5 linked regions of the Nothobranchius furzeri genome follow. The protein of the gene in region 1 purifies or fractionates together with the protein of each later gene. This does not show direct contact. Links are inferred from orthologs where the notes say so. Each region holds a gene or a part of one and is shown in the gene's direction. Other genes may lie near its edges.

The links. Proteins that work in one complex are often made in the same cells at the same time.
Region 2: the proteins of araf (region 1) and bag2 purify together in Homo sapiens (affinity purification with mass spectrometry; 3 studies listed by BioGRID and IntAct, with this or other methods). This does not show direct contact. The link is inferred for Nothobranchius furzeri from reciprocal best matches to the Homo sapiens genes ARAF and BAG2.
Region 3: the proteins of araf (region 1) and cdc37 purify together in Homo sapiens (affinity purification with mass spectrometry; 7 studies listed by BioGRID and IntAct, with this or other methods). This does not show direct contact. The link is inferred for Nothobranchius furzeri from reciprocal best matches to the Homo sapiens genes ARAF and CDC37.
Region 4: the proteins of araf (region 1) and fkbp5 purify together in Homo sapiens (affinity purification with mass spectrometry; 4 studies listed by BioGRID and IntAct, with this or other methods). This does not show direct contact. The link is inferred for Nothobranchius furzeri from reciprocal best matches to the Homo sapiens genes ARAF and FKBP5.
Region 5: the proteins of araf (region 1) and hsp90ab1 purify together in Homo sapiens (affinity purification with mass spectrometry; 5 studies listed by BioGRID and IntAct, with this or other methods). This does not show direct contact. The link is inferred for Nothobranchius furzeri from reciprocal best matches to the Homo sapiens genes ARAF and HSP90AB1.

The regions. Positions count from the first base shown.
Region 1 is NC_091757.1:26,534,323-26,537,822, reverse strand, and holds part of araf (serine/threonine-protein kinase A-Raf), read left to right. Parts: intron 1-165; coding exon 166-269; intron 270-714; coding exon of another isoform or gene 715-782; intron 783-936; coding exon of another isoform or gene 937-1,080; intron 1,081-1,731; coding exon of another isoform or gene 1,732-1,856; intron 1,857-2,576; coding exon of another isoform or gene 2,577-2,669; intron 2,670-2,909; coding exon of another isoform or gene 2,910-2,947; intron 2,948-3,011; coding exon 3,012-3,114; intron 3,115-3,213; coding exon 3,214-3,368; intron 3,369-3,500. Other genes in the region: sericin-1-like, read right to left, coding at 715-782, 937-1,080, 1,732-1,856, 2,577-2,669, 2,910-2,947. UniProt on the Homo sapiens protein: Involved in the transduction of mitogenic signals from the cell membrane to the nucleus. May also regulate the TOR signaling cascade. Phosphorylates PFKFB2.
Region 2 is NC_091752.1:19,643,860-19,647,918, reverse strand, and holds the start of bag2 (BAG family molecular chaperone regulator 2), read left to right. Parts: upstream 1-1,259; 5' UTR 1,260-1,513; coding exon 1,514-1,638; intron 1,639-1,822; coding exon 1,823-1,932; intron 1,933-3,527; coding exon 3,528-3,922; 3' UTR 3,923-4,059. UniProt on the Homo sapiens protein: Co-chaperone for HSP70 and HSC70 chaperone proteins. Acts as a nucleotide-exchange factor (NEF) promoting the release of ADP from the HSP70 and HSC70 proteins thereby triggering client/substrate protein release.
Region 3 is NC_091745.1:3,429,164-3,433,274, forward strand, and holds the start of cdc37 (hsp90 co-chaperone Cdc37), read left to right. Parts: upstream 1-1,311; 5' UTR 1,312-1,326; coding exon 1,327-1,328; exon of another isoform or gene 1,329-1,334; intron 1,335-2,098; exon of another isoform or gene 2,099-2,159; intron 2,160-3,718; exon of another isoform or gene 3,719-3,960; coding exon 3,961-4,069; intron 4,070-4,111. Other genes in the region: uncharacterized protein, read left to right, coding at 1-88, 160-167; cmc4 (cx9C motif-containing protein 4), read left to right, coding at 1,039-1,096, 1,175-1,311. UniProt on the Homo sapiens protein: Co-chaperone that binds to numerous kinases and promotes their interaction with the Hsp90 complex, resulting in stabilization and promotion of their activity. Inhibits HSP90AA1 ATPase activity.
Region 4 is NC_091743.1:66,802,749-66,806,911, reverse strand, and holds the start of fkbp5 (peptidyl-prolyl cis-trans isomerase FKBP5), read left to right. Parts: upstream 1-1,363; 5' UTR 1,364-1,595; intron 1,596-4,163. UniProt on the Homo sapiens protein: Immunophilin protein with PPIase and co-chaperone activities. Component of unligated steroid receptors heterocomplexes through interaction with heat-shock protein 90 (HSP90).
Region 5 is NC_091742.1:8,415,726-8,419,960, reverse strand, and holds the start of hsp90ab1 (heat shock protein HSP 90-beta), read left to right. Parts: upstream 1-1,435; 5' UTR 1,436-1,576; intron 1,577-2,339; coding exon 2,340-2,483; intron 2,484-2,553; coding exon 2,554-2,760; intron 2,761-2,843; coding exon 2,844-3,003; intron 3,004-3,101; coding exon 3,102-3,235; intron 3,236-3,304; coding exon 3,305-3,613; intron 3,614-3,683; coding exon 3,684-3,849; intron 3,850-3,941; coding exon 3,942-4,132; intron 4,133-4,235. UniProt on the Homo sapiens protein: Molecular chaperone that promotes the maturation, structural maintenance and proper regulation of specific target proteins involved for instance in cell cycle control and signal transduction. Undergoes a functional cycle linked to its ATPase activity.

The DNA.
Region 1 (3,500 bases):
AGATTGATTTCCAGTTGAGATTTGATGTGTTTACAAAGTGTAAAGTGTATAGATATGTATGTATATACTTGTACAGTCACACATAGATACCACCTGTATGTATGTGTAAATATTAATCTGTGTATGCATCTACGTAAACCTTTTCAAACATGCTTCTGTTGGCAGGTGAACGTCCGACATGAACAGACTGTGTACGAGGTTCTTGATAAAGCCCTCAAGGTTCGAGGGCTGAATCAGGACTGCTGTGCTGTGTTTCGTTTGTTAGAGGGGTAATATGTCCTCACTTACTTTTCCACATCTACTCTTGATTATTTTAACCCTTTGGTGCATAATGGTCACTACAGTGGACAGGTACTCAAAACTGTTATTTATTTGTTTTTGCTACTAAGCTCAGCTGTTGAAGACTTTATTGCATTTGAGCCGCTCCATTTGGACTTCAGGAAGCCAAGCCAACATATTTCATGCTCAGAATGCACGCTGTCCACTGAGGTGAACACGTAATAAATTATTTGTAAATTATAAAATTTGACAAAAAATATTTGTTGAAATTTGTTTCATTCACACGTAAAGACGAATGAAAAAAATTGTTTAAAAAATCATGGTTGAAGATTTCATAATTCATGCATCAAAGGGTTAATCAAACCACCCTCAGTGAGAGGAATATGTTGATGACACCTGATTCTCAGTGATGTATTAGGTCTGAGCAGCACGTGTTCAGGAAGATCGTAGCTTTTGAGTGTTTGACTTGAGGCTTCGCCATGGTCGGGCAGTGTCCTGAATTCCTTTATATTTAGCCATGAATGCTACTGCTACCACCACCAGTACTACTACTACTACTACCACTACCACCAACACTACTACTACTACCACTACCACCAACACTACTACTAACACTACCACCGTCACTACTACTAACACTACTACTACTAACACTACCACTGTCACTACTACTACCACTACCACCAACACTACTACTACTACCACTACCACCAACACTACTACTACTACCACTACCACCAACACTACTACTACTACCACTACCACCAACACTACTACTAACACTACCACCGTCACTACTACTAACACTACTACTACTAACACTACCACTGTCACTACTACTAACACTACTACTACTAACACTACCACTGTCACTACTACTAACACTACTACTATTAACACTACCACCGTCACTACTACTAACACTACTACTACTAACACTACCACTGTCACTACTACTAACACTACCACCGTCACTACTACTACTACTACTACTACTAACACTACCACTGTCACTACTACTAACACTACCACCACCACTACTACTACTACTACTAACACTACCACCATCACTACTACTACTACTACTAACACTACCACTGTCACTACTACTAACACTACCACCACCAGTACTACTACTACTACTAACACTACCACCGTCACCACTACTAACACTACCACCACCAGTACTACTACTACTACTAACACTACCACCATCACTACTACTACTAACACTACCACTGTCACTACTACTAACACTACCACCACCAGTACTACTACTACTACTAACACTACCACTGTCACTACTACTAACACTACCACCACCAGTACTACTACTACTACTAACACTACCACTGTCACTACTACTAACACTACCACCACCAGTACTACTACTACCACCACCACCTCTACTACTACTACTACTACTACTAACAACACCACCACCACTACTACTGCTATTACTACTACTACTACTACTACTACTACTACTAACACCACCACCACCACTACTACTACTACTACTAACACCACCACCACCACTACTACTACTAACACTACCACTGTCACTACCACTAACACTACCACCACCAGTACTACTACTACCACCACCACCTCTACTACTACTACTACTACTACTACTAACAACACCACCACCACTACTACCGCTATTACTACTACTACTACTACTACTAACACCACCACCACCACTACTACTACTACTACTAACACCACCACCACCACTACTACTACTACTACTAACACCACCACCACCACCACCACCACCACCACCACCACTACTACTACTACTACTACTACTATTACTATTACTACTTCCAATACTACTACCACCATTACTATCACTTCTACTACTACTTCTACCACCACCTCCTCAAGGAGGTCAATGGTCAACTTTCCTGGAGGGGTCACCCAATAGGACAGTGGGAGAGTTAAATATTTATATTAATATTTATGCATTGTTCGTGTGTGTGTGTGTGTGTGTGTGTGTGTGTGTGTGTGTGTGTGTGTGTGTGTGCGCGTGTGTGTGTGTGCCTGCTCTGTCTTCTCGATCCCCAGTGAGTCGTGGAGGATGGCTGCTTATACTGAGCGAGGATCCTCTGGAGGTTTCTTCCTGTTAAAAGGGAGTTTTCCTCTCCACTGTCGCTGCATGCTTGCTTAGTATGAGGATTGCTGTAAAGACTCTGACACTAGTCAGTGACTCGATGCCACCTGCTGGGTTCCTTATAAAAGAAACTTTTTACTGATTGGCTTAATGACCTGACCTGTATTGGAATGTTTACCAAGTGCCTTGAGACAACTCGTCGTGATTTGGCGCTTTATAAATAAACCGAATTGAATTGATTAGGACTAAACGCAGACGGGTGTGGCGACTCCTGAAGGAAAAAGACAAAAGAGAAAGAAATAGTTTTTCCTTCTCAGAATGAATTAGAAATGTCTTAAGTTTTGGTTTTAGAGGCTATCAGTCTCTTCTAAACGATTTGGGATCCTTTGAAAATCACGTGATTGGATCGGAACATCCCTACTTTAAACTATTTGTTCGCTAAAGCCTTATGAATTTGATTACTCATTGTTACTGTCTACTAACGCCTTATCGATCCAGCGTGAGCAGATGCCTTTTTAGATGGTCATCAGTAGAGTGAAGTGAATTCATGTGTTCATGTGGAATGCTGCCCAGCTCCTAGTGTGTGATGCTCTGTTCTGGTCTGGTTCCACAGCCGTAAGAGACTGACAGACTGGAAAACTGACATCACTCCTTTGGTGGGAGAGGAGTTGTTAGTGGAAGTCCTGGATGATATTCCACTCACCATGCACAACTATGTGAGTCCTAGCAGCTTCTGCAGCCAGTATTTATGATCCTGTCTTTAGTCTTAAAGACGTTGCTGTAGATGAGTGGTTTCATGCTGTGGTTCTCTTCAGGTACGAAAGACGTTTTTCAAGCTGGCTTACTGTGACTTCTGCCACAAGTTTCTTTTCAATGGCTTCAGATGTCAGACGTGTGGCTACAAATTCCACCAACACTGTAGCAGCAAGGTCCCCACCGTCTGTGTGGACACGGACATGAAAAGCAAACGGTGAGATGGACTCGAAGTCTATGAGATGATCATTTAGGTTTTGCATTGGCCCTAAAACACTCAGGGTCCCCCACTTGTCTGTTTGTCTCTGTGGGATGTCTCTTTGACGGGTTTAGAAACGCATTATACTCT
Region 2 (4,059 bases), on another chromosome or scaffold:
TTGTGCTGATTTACAGTTTAACAGGTAACTTCTAATGAACAGATGGAATTTTTTTCAAGAGCTTGTGAAATCTGCTTGTGTCGGTTTGGGATCACCTTGTTTGTGTGGATGTAGTTTTCCCCAAAATAATTCTTGTTAATCATTTCTATAAATGTCCCCAAAACAGGGAATGACGCATTAGGGTGGCCACCTTAAGGGACGTCCACCACAGCTTCTCTGGACCATGGGTAACTGTTACAGGACCTTTTGAAACAAGATCTTTATAATTGTTGAACTATTTACATAAAAGGATTAGGGCCACTGAAGAAGAAGTTCTTTTTCTCTTTTCTGAGGGAAAAATAATCAGAATTCTGAGGTTAAGGTTAGACGTCTCATAAATATTTACACCATTTTGTTCCTATTAGATTTTGAGTTTAGGAAGAAAACTTTTGCCAAAAGTGTATGAATGTATTTTTTGTACCAGATATTTATATTTAGGGAAATTATTTTTAAAAAATAGATGTAAAAATCTCATGGGTACTTTAAAGCAGCAACCTGGAGTTTCCCCCCTTCCAAGAATTATTTATGATTTTCTTTTAATCCATAAAAGCCTGTACTGTGATAACCAAGGCAATACATCTTTTTGAAATTTTCTTGGCGATTTTTGGGGGAGGTTGAAATCACGGCTCCCCCAAAAGGGTAATCAGCTCCCCCGGAAGCCATCAAACGACATACACATGGGGAGCTCGAAAAGAAGATTGGACGGAGAGGTGATCAGAGGGAAGACGAGCCCAGACTGATGCAGAGTTGGTAACATTTCTTATGGACAAGTAAGTCTTTAAAATATACATGATAAACAGCACAACATGACTGTTCATAAAAAGGCCATAATCATGGAAACTGAGAGGCCTAGGGGTGTAATGCAGTTTTCACCTCTAGATGACAGGTGTCACTGCGTTGTGGGAATTCAGTTCAATTAATCCATAACAAAAGGCTGCTTAAATCTCACTTTTTCTATTATATCTATGATTATTATAAAGTAAAAGCCATTCTGGAAGGTCCACTGTGGCTCCAGAGTTGCGGGTTGCAGACCACCACAGGCTTTCATCTGTAGTCTGGAGTGAAAATGAATTATATATATATATATAGGCCTGGATAAGTTTATCAGAATAACTTGATTACTTTACCAATCTGCCTAATAAAAATTATGCCCAAATAAATCAAGACACATTACTTAAAACTGCAAAGTGAGTTGGAACATTATAGGTCTTTTATTTCCGTGGACCTGGAGGAGCTTGCTCACGGACCTCTGCTGGTCCACGCTCCTTACGATTGGGAGCTCCAGCTCTGGTCTCCTCGGGAACTTTCTGCCGGAGTGAAGGAAGTCCATGTTAGGAAATGTTCCCCCCATGGGGCGCTGCTGCTGCCTGCCTCAGTCCGAGGATTTACACCCAGCTGGACGGCTCGGAGGGACACACACTGGATTTTGCGCTCACCGAGGGAAAGCACTGTAGCCATCATCTTCGTCTTCATTATGGCTCAAGCGAAAATACAAGCGAAAATGAACGAAGCTGCCCTCTGCAGCAAGTTCAGCAGGACGCTTTCTATGGCAGACCGCTCGGGGCGACTCCTGGAAAGTTTGGATCAGCTGGAAACGAGGTAACAGGCCCTTGTTGTACCATGTGTGCTACGGAGCCGCTATTTGCCCCGGCCGCTAACATTTATTGGCATAAACCTTTTATAAACACTGTAAACAGGGCAATGTGACAATAAATGTTTTTCATAACAAACATAACTGGTTTGCAGCGTGTTATTTCATATGCTGTCTCTCTTTCTGTGTCAGAGTGGAGGCTTTACGAGAAGCAGCATCTGCCATGGAGCAGGAAAGGGAGTGCATCCTGGAAATGATTCAGTCCATACAGAACAGTCAAGAAATGAGGAACATCTGTGCTGGTGAAGCTGCTAACTCTCTCTTAACTTACATAAGCGCAAAAGTCACGCACGGCTTAATGCCAGGGAAGATACGCGGTTATAAAGGGGAACTAGTACGGTTAATGTATTTCTACCAGAATCCCATCTCCTCTGATCTCACCCAGACCCAGTTTGTGTGAACCAGGCTCATGTTTCACCTCTGGATCGTGTGAGTCAATAGCCTACATCTGGTTTATTGATTTGGTTCCGCTGTAAACAGACAAAAAGGCCTAACCCTTAAAGCTCATTATTTAAATCCAGAGTCTGACCAGGGTAGACCGTCTAGTCATGTTGGTTTATGCTCCATTAAACCTCATTAATGTAAGTTAGTATGATTCACACGAGCTCCATGGTTCACCTAGAAACTCCTCTCAACTGGTCAGGGATTTGAAAGAAGGGCTTTATGTAAAGGTGCATTATGTAAGACTGACATCCTGTGGTCAAATTTGGTTACTGCAGACCACATTTGTAAGCAAAAGTCACTGCCGTGAGTGTCAATCAAAATCAAATCAAAGATACTTTATTAATCCCAGAGGGAAATTAGAGTTTCAGTACACACAATTCAGAGATCAGACATACATGGGCAAGACATATGACAAGAATTGGTGACTGTGGTCATTCGCAACCCTGAGTCGTGCTAATTGAGATCAGAGGGTTACATGAGGATTGGTTCAGGTGGAGGGAAAAAAAGGCACTTCAGAGTTACCCTCCACTGGGAAGGCAGCTTTGCTATGCAAAAAAAAAAAAAACACCCACCTCCGACAGAGATGCAACAGACTTCAGGCATTACACAATATAAGTGTCCACTAGGTGGGGAGGTGGGTTGGGATTATCCCTACTTCAGTTCCTGCAGCCACGATAGATTCTCATGGCGCAAAAGGGCCTGTTACAGATCAGCACCAGAAGATTCTAGATGACAAGAAAAGATGAGTTATAACCTAATCTTTGAATAAAATTTGCAAACATAACCGAACATTCTGTCCGTTAAACACTAGGCAGTCCGGCTCCGACTTTGCTTCCTGTTCAACTACTCTAAGCCAAGAATGCGCAATACATCCACAAATACGGGTATGCGCATACAGCGGAGGGACTGTCAGAGGGGAGTTTGATGGATGGATCATGATTCAGTCATTAAGAACGGGATTGCATGTTTCAGAGGAAATGAAAATTATTAGTTTTTCGACAAAGCATTTACTTTATTGGTTGCTGTACGATGTGATGACCATAACAAGCAATATGGCAAAAAATGCTCCAGAGAAACATCGTCCATCCCAATAAAAAATATGTTTGGAAATGTTATTGCATTCATTTCTTCCAATTAATATCAGTGGTATTTTGGTGTCAGCTTGTTATTATTGACAAGTTGGCAGAATCATGGAGAACATCATGAATATTGCTTAACAGGTTTCAGTGGGGGCAGTATTATGGTGTGGGGTGGGATCTCAGACAAATCAGAGCTTGTACTCATTGAAATAAACTTTTAGAAATATGAAATGACTATTGATGTGCTGTTACAGCCGCATTAAAAGCAGTTTCTTTCCTATAAAGATTTAGTAATATGTTTACATGTCTTCTAGGTGAGAGGGAAGAGTTATCTTTGACTGCGAACCGTCTGATGGGCCGAACGTTGTCTGTGGAGATCTCTGTTGGCACAATCAGAAACCCCCAACAGGAGGATGCACTACTCAAGGCCACGTCTATGATAGACGAGATTGTGAAAAAGCTGCTGAGCGACATGGAAGGTGGCCGTCAGCAGCTGCTGGCCCTGCACGCTGCCTGCGTCACGGAGGCACCGCTCGTCCCTATTGACCAGAAGTTTCAGACCGTGGTGATCAGCTGCGCTCTGGAGGACCAGAAGAAGATAAAGCGAAGGCTGGAGACTCTGCTGAGGAACGTTGAAAATGCCGAAAAGAACATCAAGATAATGGATCACCAAAAACTGGAGGGCACAAAAGCTAACGGGGGTCACTGAGACCCTTTGCCGAGGTGTCTTGAATTCCACTAACCTCACAGAAAGCTATAGTTAGCTTTTACACATTTAATTAATTTCAGATGGACTCTGCTTGAAGCAGCAAGGAGAGGTCTTATGGGAAAATGCCATACCGAATT
Region 3 (4,111 bases), on another chromosome or scaffold:
TCCCTTCTCCCTGGGACATACACCTGTGCTGCCTCAAACACGCTGGAAAAGAAGAGCAAACAGTTCATTGTCAAAGCAAAGACCAAAGGTAAAGGGGAAGTATGAGGAACTACATCTGCAAGTAAAACTCTGCATCCTAATTTGTTTTCTGTTGTTCAGGTGTTTAAGGCCCACTAACAGGACTTGAATCAGCTGGAAGAATTTCACTGAGCAGGTTTTATTGCTGCTGCCTCATGAGATGGAAGCATTCAGTAATCAGTGGATGTTTTGATGTATTCTGTTATCATACAGAGTTAGATCTCACAAAGAAGACAAATGAAGATGTTTAGCAAACGCCATTTATTATGTGAAGGTTGATTTTTGTCGTAGTCTACTGTTGTTGTTTTATGTAATAAAATTTCCCTTATTATATATGTACTAGAATATTTTTAATGATCTAATAAGTAAAGAAAATCATAATTTGACAAAGTATAACTACCCTTGATACGCCAATGACTAACAATGTGAAGTTACTGTAAATATGAACTGTTTCTAAATGTTCTTATCTTTATAAATAAAGTTAAATAAACAAAAAATTCTTTTTATGGTTTGATTTTTAAACGTGTATTTTGATAGTTATTAGTGCCAGTTCTGAGTAATGTAAATAAATAAACAAAATTTCCGTACTTGTGAAAAATACCTCCCACCAAAAGATTATGGCTTCTTTAAAATGTAAATTTATACTTTCTGAAGGTTAGTTAATGAAAAAAATATTCAAAATTATTCTATAAATACATTTTATGTTCGGTTACTGCAAAACATTTTGGAATTACATTTAGGTTTTCAAGGCGACGTTGTCAAATTCCTTTGCAACACCAGAGGTCGCTGTTGTTCATTGTCCGGATTTGATTAGATCTCGTTGCGTCACATGATCACTCTCGCGAGAGGAGAATGCATCGCACTAGCTAAGACGTCCAGGTGGGAATCGGCTTTTAGCTCCTTTTGGGTATCCTGATGCTTTAAAATTTGATTACACTATTGCTGCGTTTTCTTTCAGGCATGCCGGAGAAAGATCCGTGTCAAAAACAGGCATGTGCTATTCAAAAGTGTCTGCAAGGTACATTAAATGTAGATGAAAATGCTGCTAGACAGCGGGCGAACCCCACAGTCACATAACTCCGTTCCACTCCTGCAGCCAACAACTACTCGGAGAGTTTGTGTGAGAATGTGATCCGAGAGATGCGGCGGTGCTGTGAAGCTCAGGCCGGGAAATCCATCTGCTGCTCCGGGTTTAGGGAGTCCAAACCAACGGGGAACAAGAGCAACGCATAAAAACATCTCAATCAAATGTCAGTGTGTTTGGCATTTACCGTTGGAATGTATTCATTATTACATGTATCATAATAATTATCATAAAAGTACACACTAAACTTAACACTGGACGTGTAAACGTGTAAAGCTTTAAGATAACACTCCTCCCTGGCAGTGTGATTAACTACAACCAGGTTATGTCCACCGCCCTCTGATCGTGTTAAAATGATCGAATCTTTGCATGCCAGTGAGCTGAAGATCACGTGAGACCATGGACGTAATTTTGGGGGGGGGGGGGGGGGGGGTCAGGGGGACATGTCCCCCCCACTTTTTCCAAAGTCAAGTTTTGACCCCTGCACTTTTTACCATCCAAAAACAATTTTACGCTATATTAAATTCACACTGGTTGAGCTCTAGGACCAAGTGGAAAACAACTGTTTGTGTTGAAGCCTGTTTCCCATTAGAGCATACTGTAAAGATACCCCCCCCCCCCCCCACACACACACACACCCGTGTCCCCCCCACTTCTAAAGTGAAAATTACGTCCATGCGTGAGACTGTTATAAATATGCTTGCTTACAGAAACAAATACATTAAAAGACTGATAGTAGACATCTTGACTGTGATTCTGGTGGCAGACCCAAACTAAACTCCTGATATTTATATTAAAGTGGTCCCAGCTCTCCTCGTGTTTATTCTGCTCAGAGCTCTGGGTTAATGTAAACGTGACGATTCACGATCACCAGGTAAAACATTTAACTGATCTATATTTTTGTCTATTTGTGTGTGTTTTCATGTCCCTGTTCAGGTCTGTAAAAATAGGTTTTTTTATCATCATGCTTGTGAGTAATGCACATATAGAACACACTGTAAGTATTTTCAGAAACATTTAATTTCTAAAAACAATCTCATGTGTGGCAATAATATGTTCCATATTACACCATCCTAACACCAACTTTCATCCTTCAGTCATTACTTCTTTAGAAGCTTCCTAAACAGATTGATAAAGAGAGCAATTATTCTATTATTATTACACATACTATTTTAAAACTGACCATTGCTAACAAAATACTAAAATTCATTGCAAAAGTCATCCATTAATAAATTATTGATCACGTCGAGGTTCCATCTTCACAGTGCAAACATTGAGATTACCAGTTTCAAACTCTTGAAATCATTTAGATTTATTCTAATTGAATGTGTCCAACAAAATGCTTACTGGCACTTATAAGAATGTCCATGTTGGGTGGATGAAGGGCTGAAAGCAAACGAAACAAGAGAAAATTTAACAATTCCAGAGATGAGCTGATTCTGGATTTAAGGGCCAACATGCAGATTTCTTTTTCAACCCTGACCTGCTGAGCTGATACTACTATTTTGGGCTGTTTATGTTTAATGAAAAATCAATCAGATTTTTGGTATTTGGATGATCACTGGTTAAGACGCCATACTGAATACTGGCTTGTTTGGATCTCCAGTCAGCTTTCAGGGTCAGCTCTAATTATTGTTTCTTGAGAAGCGTTTGCTAGTTTATATCTAAACATTTACTTGTGGTTTTTCCATCCAAAGAATAACAAAAAATAAAATGAAAAAAAAAAAAAAAAAAAAAGCTGAACACTATACCATCATCAAGACCTCTCAGCCTCTGTTCTTGGTCCAGTAAAGAAGGTAAGATGTCTCGCTGAGAAAACAGCCTCAGTCTGTGGATGTTTGACAAGGGGGAAAAGTCCAAGAAGATAGTTTTATTCGGTAGAGAAAAACAGTTTGCTTTTTTAAGTTTTACAGAAATGTTTAGATTAGCTGAAAAATAATTGTGTAAGATACTTGATATTTTATAGTACTTTCAGTTTAGCATACAATAATAAGTTAATAAATAAAAGAAAGTCAAAGCACAAATGTGGAGAAAAAGAAGTCACGTCTTGTAAAGAAACTACAAAAATAGTTGTGATGTAAATACTTTTATAATCTGTACAACAGACTAACATTCTGACTAATCTGCTGCTAACCAGGTTTAACTATATGCAATAATATGAGGATAAGGATGGATTGGTACACGATCAGACATTATGGTTTTTATGTAGGCTACACAAATGGTATCTATATAGTGGAAACGATATTTCGGTTGTTTAGAAATCTGAGTAACTACAGTAAAAATACGAAGAAAGAAATGAAGGAAATCTGTTCAGTTCACTTTTGTAACTCATGGTGTTGTGCCGGAAAAAGCCCCTCTGTTCGTATAGGCATTTGTGTCAAACAGACTTTGTTCGAAACCGAACTTTAACTCATACATCTTTACTTGTTTATTAACGGGGTGCGTTTGTGAAAAACTTGGTTTTTCTAGTAAGTTTAACATACGGTCGCAGGCACATACGAGTGCATTTTTTACCACAACACCTGCGTCATACGTGCCTTTTACGTCATGACGTTTAGGCGTGTAGCGGAAGCTTGCAGCAGCGAATCTTTCTAGAATTTTGTAGCAGCATTTGGCTAACTGTCGCTGAGACAGTCCAGCTCCTTCCCTTCTGATAAGACTACAGTCTAATGCGCCGTTGGTAGTTAACACATCTTTCGGAGACTTTGGAAAGCGTCAGAGTGTTGTTGAATTTGTTTTTCCGAGAGTTTTAATTGAAATTATCGAACTCTTAAAACAAGCTAGGTTCTGGTTTACAGGATGTCCAGGATAGATTACAGCGTGTGGGATCACATTGAGGTCTCGGACGATGAAGATGATACCCACCCAAACATTGACACACCCAGCCTCTTCAGATGGAGACACCAGGTACCTTTTTGATTTATAACGTGACTGAGTTTTGATTTTCTT
Region 4 (4,163 bases), on another chromosome or scaffold:
ATCCATGGAACAATGTGCTCACTGTAAAGTGAAATTACTCTGCTGCGGATGCAAGAGTCGATGCATTCATATTTACTGAAATTTAAAAGTAAATTCAGAAACGTACGTTTAGAAATCTTGCATATTACCTGATGGGTTCATCTTTTTACCTTTCATGCTGAGTTTAGGGCAGTTTAATCCATAATTATTTTCTAGAAGCTTTTTAATTATATTTCATTGCATAGTCAATTGGATGGTTACTTTTCAATAATGAACTCAATAGCTTCAAAATCCAATTACGTATTAACTAGAAGTATAAAGTTAGCATGTAACATAACTTATTCTTAGTGTAAGGTGACAACAAATGGAAAAGATAGCCTGGTGAATGTTAAATTACTTTAAATAGTATTTAATTAGTTCCTGGGTGGAGAATATAAAATTACATTGAACCTCAGCATCCTACTTCTTGGCAGGGATAATCTGTCACTCCCTAATACAAAATGCTAATCTGACATAATAACTTAATCAGGCAGAAAAAGTTAAGTTACGACTCAAGTTATTGGTTTAACAAAACAGTTCCTGTTGGCATTCTCTTTTAAAGTCCTAATTTAGGAAATGAAAGCACAAATAAACGTATTGCTGCACCGGTTAGGCTTTTATTCTCAATAGCTAGCTAAAAACACCTGTGCAAGTTTAGCCTTAAGCTAATATAGCTGGTGCAACTCCCCCTTTCGTGTTCAAATAACAGCCATAACAGAGCATTAATTAATAATAACAGCACATCATCGCACAAAACAGCTACTAAAGTCGCGCTTTTGTCGGTAACTACAGCGTTAAATAAAAAAAACTAAGATAAAGGCGGAGGAGTTTTTACCGTCTCCCTCAGAAACAGTAATCCGTCAAACCGCGCGACTCATCGGACTCAGAGGTGTACGTCAGTGTCGGTGCTTTGACACGTCTCCGTGTTGCTACGGGGTTCGGTTCGGCTGGGACTGACAGAGAGACGGAGACAGCTCCTCTTGTTGTTGATATGTGTTGTCCGCTGAGCGGAGAGAGGAGGAACACGCTGCAGCGGAACAGGCTGTTCCCGCCCGGCCTGGCACGGAACGGGTTACAGGTCAGGGTGTCTGTTGGAACACTGTGTTCTCATCAGCAGCGGCACAGCTACAGTACAGCCGGAACATTGTGTTACTTTGTGGCTGCTTTCCAAGACCTGCCCTTAATTTTACACTAAACACCCTCCCCACAACTCATCTCGTTTCTGCTTACCCCCGCCACCCCCCTCCACCCCCCTCGCCTCCTCCTGCCTCTGTCATTTTTGTGCGAGTTTGTCTCTGTAGTATCTCCTCAGTGTCATTTTGGAGTCAGAGCTGCGTGTTGCGACCGCACCGGTACTTTCATCACTGAGGAGAGGAAGAAGGAGCAGAGGGGGGTGGGATAAAGACAAAAAGAGTCCATAGCTAAGAACCACATGGGCAGAACACTTAGTACCCTGCTGGATCTGAGATAGGAAGACGCATTTTCTTAGAAATAAACATCCACCGAGTGAATTTGCAGCTGTTCGTCACCGGCAACCATCTGGGGGAAGAAAATAAAAAAGCGGACCTCAAAACATCGTAAGTCTCTTTTAATACACAGATCTTCATCTTTCTGAAATACTTTATTTAATTTAGGAGTTAATTAAAATAATCTTTTTTTTTAAATTTCGTTCACGCCTGGCTGAGTTAAACGGAACTTGTGCACAGTCTCACTAAAGAATAAGAATATACAAGATTATTTAAAGGAGGGGGGAAAGTGAGCCAGGATGGATAGGTTTTGGCTGAATGTGGTCCTTAGCCTTCTTGTGAAGGTCCCAGAAGAGGTTGGTGGATGTTCTCATCCAGGATCCCTCTAGGCTTAGGTGTCCCTTTCATAAATTACAGGGGTTTTGTGCAGGCTACTTCTGAGAATTATAACTCAACTCGACTCTGAGCTGATTCATTACAACCTGGTTACATATTACTGAGCAGCTTGTGAAGAACTCTGAATGTTTAGGTTGACACCAGGTGCTGAGGGGATAAGCACAAAAATGGTCCTCCAAAATTAGTTCCAGCCAGGACTATTCTATAAGTATCTAATAAAAATGCACACATTTTCATCAGCTCAGGTGAAAAAAAATAAAGTTTATTTGTCAGTTAACAACTTATAAAAGTTAAGGTCAGGCATAATTTTTGCCTGGAAAACAAATAGATTTTAATGATTACAGCATTTTTATGATAGACATCTATAAATATCAAGTTATTATCATAATCTTAGCACCATAACAGGTTAATAAAAGAAGTTTAGTTTTTTTGGGGTGTCTGTGTGTGCAGGATTATCAGTGAGTCTCCACTTGTTAGGTATGAATCAGCAACAGAGTACGGATGTGAAACAGAATGTACAGATACACTGTGTGCGTCTCTGGATGTGGTCTTTGGCTCATTGTGTTCTGTTCCTGCATTCCTCCGCAGGGCATCTTAGTTATTGGTACATGAAGCCTACGTACCATCTTATCAGTGCTGGAACAATTTACACCCTGTTTCTGCTTTTGCAAAGTGTCAATATTTTATTTACGAGGAAGAGATGACAGAAATACACCAAAAAGAAGGGCGAGATCACAATGATGGGATGAGTAACTTTTTACTTGTCTGCAATCATCAGTGATGATAAGCAGTCACAACGCTGGTTTATCTCAGTTTAAATCATGTGGGGGGTAAAAAATGTGAGTGTATGCAAAATTTACCAAATTAGAACAGCTTATTTGCCTTTTTTTTGTTAAATAAAATTAAAGCTGGTGCATCAGGGGGGTTTAAGGTTGATGAACGCTGTTGGGCTTTGCCGGTGGCGAACTGTGAATAGAAGGAACATTGTGTTCAGACACACACATGGACACACGAGTTACATGAGTTACATCTGAAATGACATCCGTGGAATTTAAAAGACACGGGGAAGGGTGGAGCTGCTGATGGACGGACGTTTTGGGACATTTTTCAGGATAAAAACTGTATTTTTCCATACAAGTACAAAAGTGAGGATGCGGGGTAAAGTGATGCCAGTCAAGACGGCTCTTTGTGGTTTCAACCTGTGTGATGAGGAGCATGGAAAGTGCCTCAGCATCATAAGAAATCATTTAGAAACGATTCAAATTCTATTTCCTGATCAGTATGCAAAACAAGGATTCTGCTGCTCAGCCTGTCGTTTAATAATTAGAGGTTTATTTACATGGTCTTCTTTTTATGCAGAGAAGCATCTTTTTGCTCATTCGTGATATCTGCAAAGAATGACGGACCCTTCTGTGTAATTAACGGAAAATAAATCTACTAATAAGAGCTGCTTTTATTAAAGCGAGTTCACAGTAAAGTCTGTGTTCGCGAGGCTGCTTTCTGATCAGTTTTGCCTTTACTGGAGATATTTCTTATCTTAGTTTATAAAGCTTCTTATAAACATAAAAACCAAAGCCTTTAACATGTTTGTTGGTCCAAGAGTCAAGTGTTTAAGTCATTAGAGTCACATCTTGTCTCTCTTTGTCCGCCAGATGAAAGAACACAAAGTTCTTTTCCTTTGTTTAGATTTCCAGACTTCTCTCTTTAGAGCAAAAACAATAAAAATGATTATTAAACTGAGAAAAATTTCTTTCTACCAGATGATGTGCAAGTATACACCTATGTTGAGTTTTAAAACGTTTTTTAAGAGAGAATTATTTGGTGATTGTGGTACTTGAGAAAAACAAACAAACAAAAAAAAAAAACCAATACTGGTAAATGCCACTTTTATTTGTTTTGTTTCAACTTTGACCGCAGTAACGTTCCTACGATCCAAAGCAGCTGAGCTCTGATGAAATGTGTTAATGTCTCAGCTGATTATAACCATCCACCAGTGTTTGCCAGCATGCTTACCATAGCTGCGTTACATTTTCCTCTTCTTTGTACAATGTCAAGGTAGTTACGTCAGGGGTGACTTTCTTAGATGGGAGTAAAATGGAGCGAATGGACGATGATTGCTGCTGTGATTAAAAAGTCAACAAGCTTTAAAGGTGACATGTTATTCCAGTTTTTATTGCTCTGGCAAAGCTTCTGTTGATTTTTCCTTTTTCCACATGGATGTGCGAGATGCTGGCAGCAGATTTCTGCTCGCCTGTTGGGCTATATACTGAACATTTTTGGTAC
Region 5 (4,235 bases), on another chromosome or scaffold:
AGAGTACTGGCGCGCTTGTTTTGTGCACCAGAGTGTATACACTGAACGGGGCTTAATGTGAATTCGCAAAATGAACCCTTTTCAGGAAACGAAACTTCTGCTAACAGGGTTCGATCAGATTACCTAACTAACCTTGGAAGACCTAATGCGCGGTAGTAACTAAATGAATAAAAAAGGTTGAATAATAATAGCATTGAAATTAAGTTACACCAAAAAAGCGGTCCGCATTTTTTTTATTAAAACGATTTGTTTCTAATCGGTTTAATTTACAAAACATCTGATCACATAAAAAAACAGCATTGTGATTTTCCTACTCGTTTTAATCAATTAGAGGATAAAGCCATCATATGATTATTTCAATGTTAAACTTCTTTTTAAATGTTTTTTAAAAGAGTACATAAAAATTCTGTGTACATTATTGTTAAAATGGTCATTCTTACCAATTCTGAAATTGTAACTAATAAATAACATATTCTGTATGCAAAGTATGACTGTACTTCTGTTATTTATCACTGAGGTTACTATCTAAATTTATAAATGTGTCTTCTGTAGTTAAACTACATAATAGAAAGCTGAATCATAATCATTTGTGCATCTCTTGCATTTGATGGGTCTAACTGCGTACATTTATTCCACTCTAATCCACTTGACAACAGTGACTTCTTCCCCTTACACTGTACTAAAAACTCAATTCCAAAGTCGTGATCAACATGACAAATATAGTATTACATTTATGTATAGCAGTCCATCTTCCACTGGTGTTCTATGTCCATAAGAAAATCTGTAATTCATATAATAACAACCATTAGTTCATTTGACAATATAAAGCATATATTCTCATGATTCAGTACGGAAAAGGGTTGAGTTGATGGTTGTTAAGGCGTTTTTGCTGTAGGAACATTTTGTGACAGATGATACGTCGGGAGAGGAAAGGGGGAGATCTGTGACGTCACTTTAAGGCGGGGCTTTCATGGAAAGTGCTAGAAGCAGGCTAGAAGAAACGAAGCACACCTTCTCGTGTTTGAAATATTCATCCGTCGGAGTAAAAAGACCCACAGTCTATGTCGAATTTCAGGGAAACTAGACGCCACTTGAGATTTGAACTTGACGCGTGGTTTTAGTGTTATGCGAATCATTTCTCTATGTTGTCGCTAGATGGGATGATTGAGATCAAAAAACATCGCCTCTCAGTGCATGGTTTGCTGTAGCTCAACCTACCACAAGATGGCGACAACGTTACACTAAGGTCCGACTTCGTATACATTTTCTTTACTTAGATTGCATAATTGGCATTTAAACCCTTTTTACCCAACAAAACGTGAATAATAGATTATTCTTTTCCAGTGAGGAAGCATACAATGTGTGTTTAGTTCTGGCTGCGGTTTTACATAAAAGTGATTGCTTCAGGTTGTAGCTCGTGAACTGCGGATGGATACGACTGCACACTGCGACCCACGTGTATAAAGACTGGTCTGGTGCCGAAAAGTAGTTCCTTTCCTTTTTCTTCAGTCAGGGAGCGCAAGGGACTACACTTTTGCTGCATTTTATTCAAGAAAAAGTCAACGAAATTACCAAGGTGCGTACATTAACGGGTCCGTAGCTCGTGTCAGACATCCTTACCTTTATAAGTTTGTTAAAATATCATCGGTATGTATGTGTTTAACGAACATTATTAGTTAATGAAAATCCAGAGGTTAATATGGTGGTCGAATAAGTGTTTCGTGGAAGACAGACGCCTAGTACGTCGGCTGATGTTTTCATTTTCCTCTCGAGAGACTACTATTTGCTTATGTTTCCGAGCATCGTAGTGATGCTCTTGAGCAGCGGGAATGCGGCACCGTGATGTCAGGCAGGTGTGGTGACGGTGACTCCGCTGGATCGAGTTCTCGGCCTGATTAAATCCGTTATAAACCCACGTTAAACCGGTACACTGAGTTTAATGTGTGCGTAATAAGGCCTGGTTACCAGCCACGAGGGGTAGTGTTCATTTGGTCGTTACGTAATTGAACGCGGTTTCAATTAACCTCCACGTTTTACTGAAACTATCACATGGAGGCTAAAACAAGTACGTTTGTAGTATTTATGGAAGTCGTCGTCGCATTGTTTATCTATTAAAGTGACTTGAGTTGATCCGCCTTAATCGTTCGCCAGCACGTGTTTGCTGCGTCCATTGTCTAGTAGAAGCCATGTTTGTTAACTGACACTTCCGCCCTTATGTAGCAGACTGCTGCAGCGGCCATCCAACTTAATGAAGCCACTTGACGAAATCGCGTTACTTTGAAACTATCTTAAGTTCTGTTTCACTTTCATTTACTGAAGTGACTTTGTTATATTTTCAGATGCCTGAAGAAATGCACCAAGAGGAGGAGGTTGAGACCTTTGCCTTCCAGGCAGAGATCGCTCAGCTGATGTCCCTGATCATCAACACCTTCTACTCCAACAAAGAGATCTTCCTTAGGGAGTTGATCTCAAACGCTTCTGATGTGAGTCTGCTGAAGCTTCAGTATTCTTCTGACTTTAAGGAAGAAACTAACCGCTATTCCCTGTTTTCAGGCTCTGGACAAAATCCGCTATGAAAGCTTGACTGACCCCTCAAAACTGGACACTGGCAAAGATCTGAAAATTGACATCATTCCCAACAAAGCTGACCGGACTTTGACCCTGATTGACACCGGGATTGGCATGACCAAAGCTGACCTTATTAACAACCTGGGCACCATCGCCAAGTCGGGCACAAAGGCCTTCATGGAGGCCCTCCAGGTACTACGCATCCCATAATGGCCTGCACAGGATCTTAAGAGACTGACTGATCTTGTGAAGCTAAATTTGTTTTATTCCTCCAGGCTGGTGCTGACATCTCAATGATTGGTCAGTTCGGTGTGGGTTTTTACTCTGCTTATCTTGTTGCTGAGAAAGTGGTCGTCATCACCAAACACAATGATGATGAGCAGTACGCCTGGGAGTCATCTGCTGGAGGTTCCTTCACAGTCAAGGTTGACAGCGGTGTGTAATTCTAACCATCACCAGTGACGTCTGAGTGTGCACTACTTGCTTACTCTAGTTTATTTTAGCTTTTCTGAAAATTCCTCAAATGTTTTCAGGCGAGCCCATTGGCCGTGGAACTAAGATCATTCTGCACCTGAAGGAGGACCAGACAGAGTATGTGGAGGACAAGAGGGTCAAGGAGATCGTTAAGAAGCACTCTCAATTCATTGGCTACCCCATCACCTTGTTTGTAAGTGCTTAAAAGTACGTTTTAAAAATTTTAAGTCTTGGGCAGATTTCTAAAGCTTTTATGTCGCAGGTGGAGAAGGAGCGCGACAAGGAGATTAGTGACGACGAGGCAGAGGAGGAAAAGACCGAGAAAGAGGAGAAAGAAGAAGAAGCTGAAGACAAGCCCAAGATTGAAGATGTGGGTTCAGATGATGAGGAGGATTCCAAAGACAAGGACAAGAAGAAGAAGAAAAAGATCAAGGAGAAGTACATTGATCAGGAGGAGCTGAACAAGACCAAGCCCATCTGGACCAGGAACCCCGATGACATCACAAATGAAGAATATGGTGAATTCTACAAGAGTCTAACAAATGACTGGGAGGATCACCTGGCTGTCAAGGTACACGAGTTTCCGACAAAGTTTTAACCCTGCGGGCTGATTTTTTTTCTAATGCTTTATTTTCTTTCAGCACTTCTCTGTGGAAGGCCAGCTGGAGTTCAGAGCCCTGCTCTTTATTCCTCGCCGTGCACCCTTTGACCTCTTCGAGAACAAGAAAAAGAAGAACAACATCAAGCTGTACGTCAGGCGGGTCTTCATCATGGACAACTGTGAGGAGCTCATTCCTGAGTATCTGAGTAAGTTCAGCTGCATTTTCCACTGTGGTCTGAAATGATTCCACAGACTCTTTAAATGGCTAATGCATTTAAAATTACTTTGTCCACTCAAGACTTCATCCGTGGTGTTGTGGACTCTGAGGACCTGCCCCTCAACATCTCCAGAGAAATGCTGCAGCAAAGCAAGATCCTGAAGGTTATTCGCAAAAACATAGTCAAGAAGTGCTTGGAGCTGTTTGCAGAACTGTCGGAGGACAAAGACAACTACAAGAAATTCTACGAGGCTTTCTCAAAGAACATGAAGGTATTGAAACTAAATGGTGGATTCATCTGAATTGGCTTGGTGTGTTTTATAAACTGAGGGACGCATTGCTGTATTTTGCATTTAAAGATCATGTTTGGTTGCT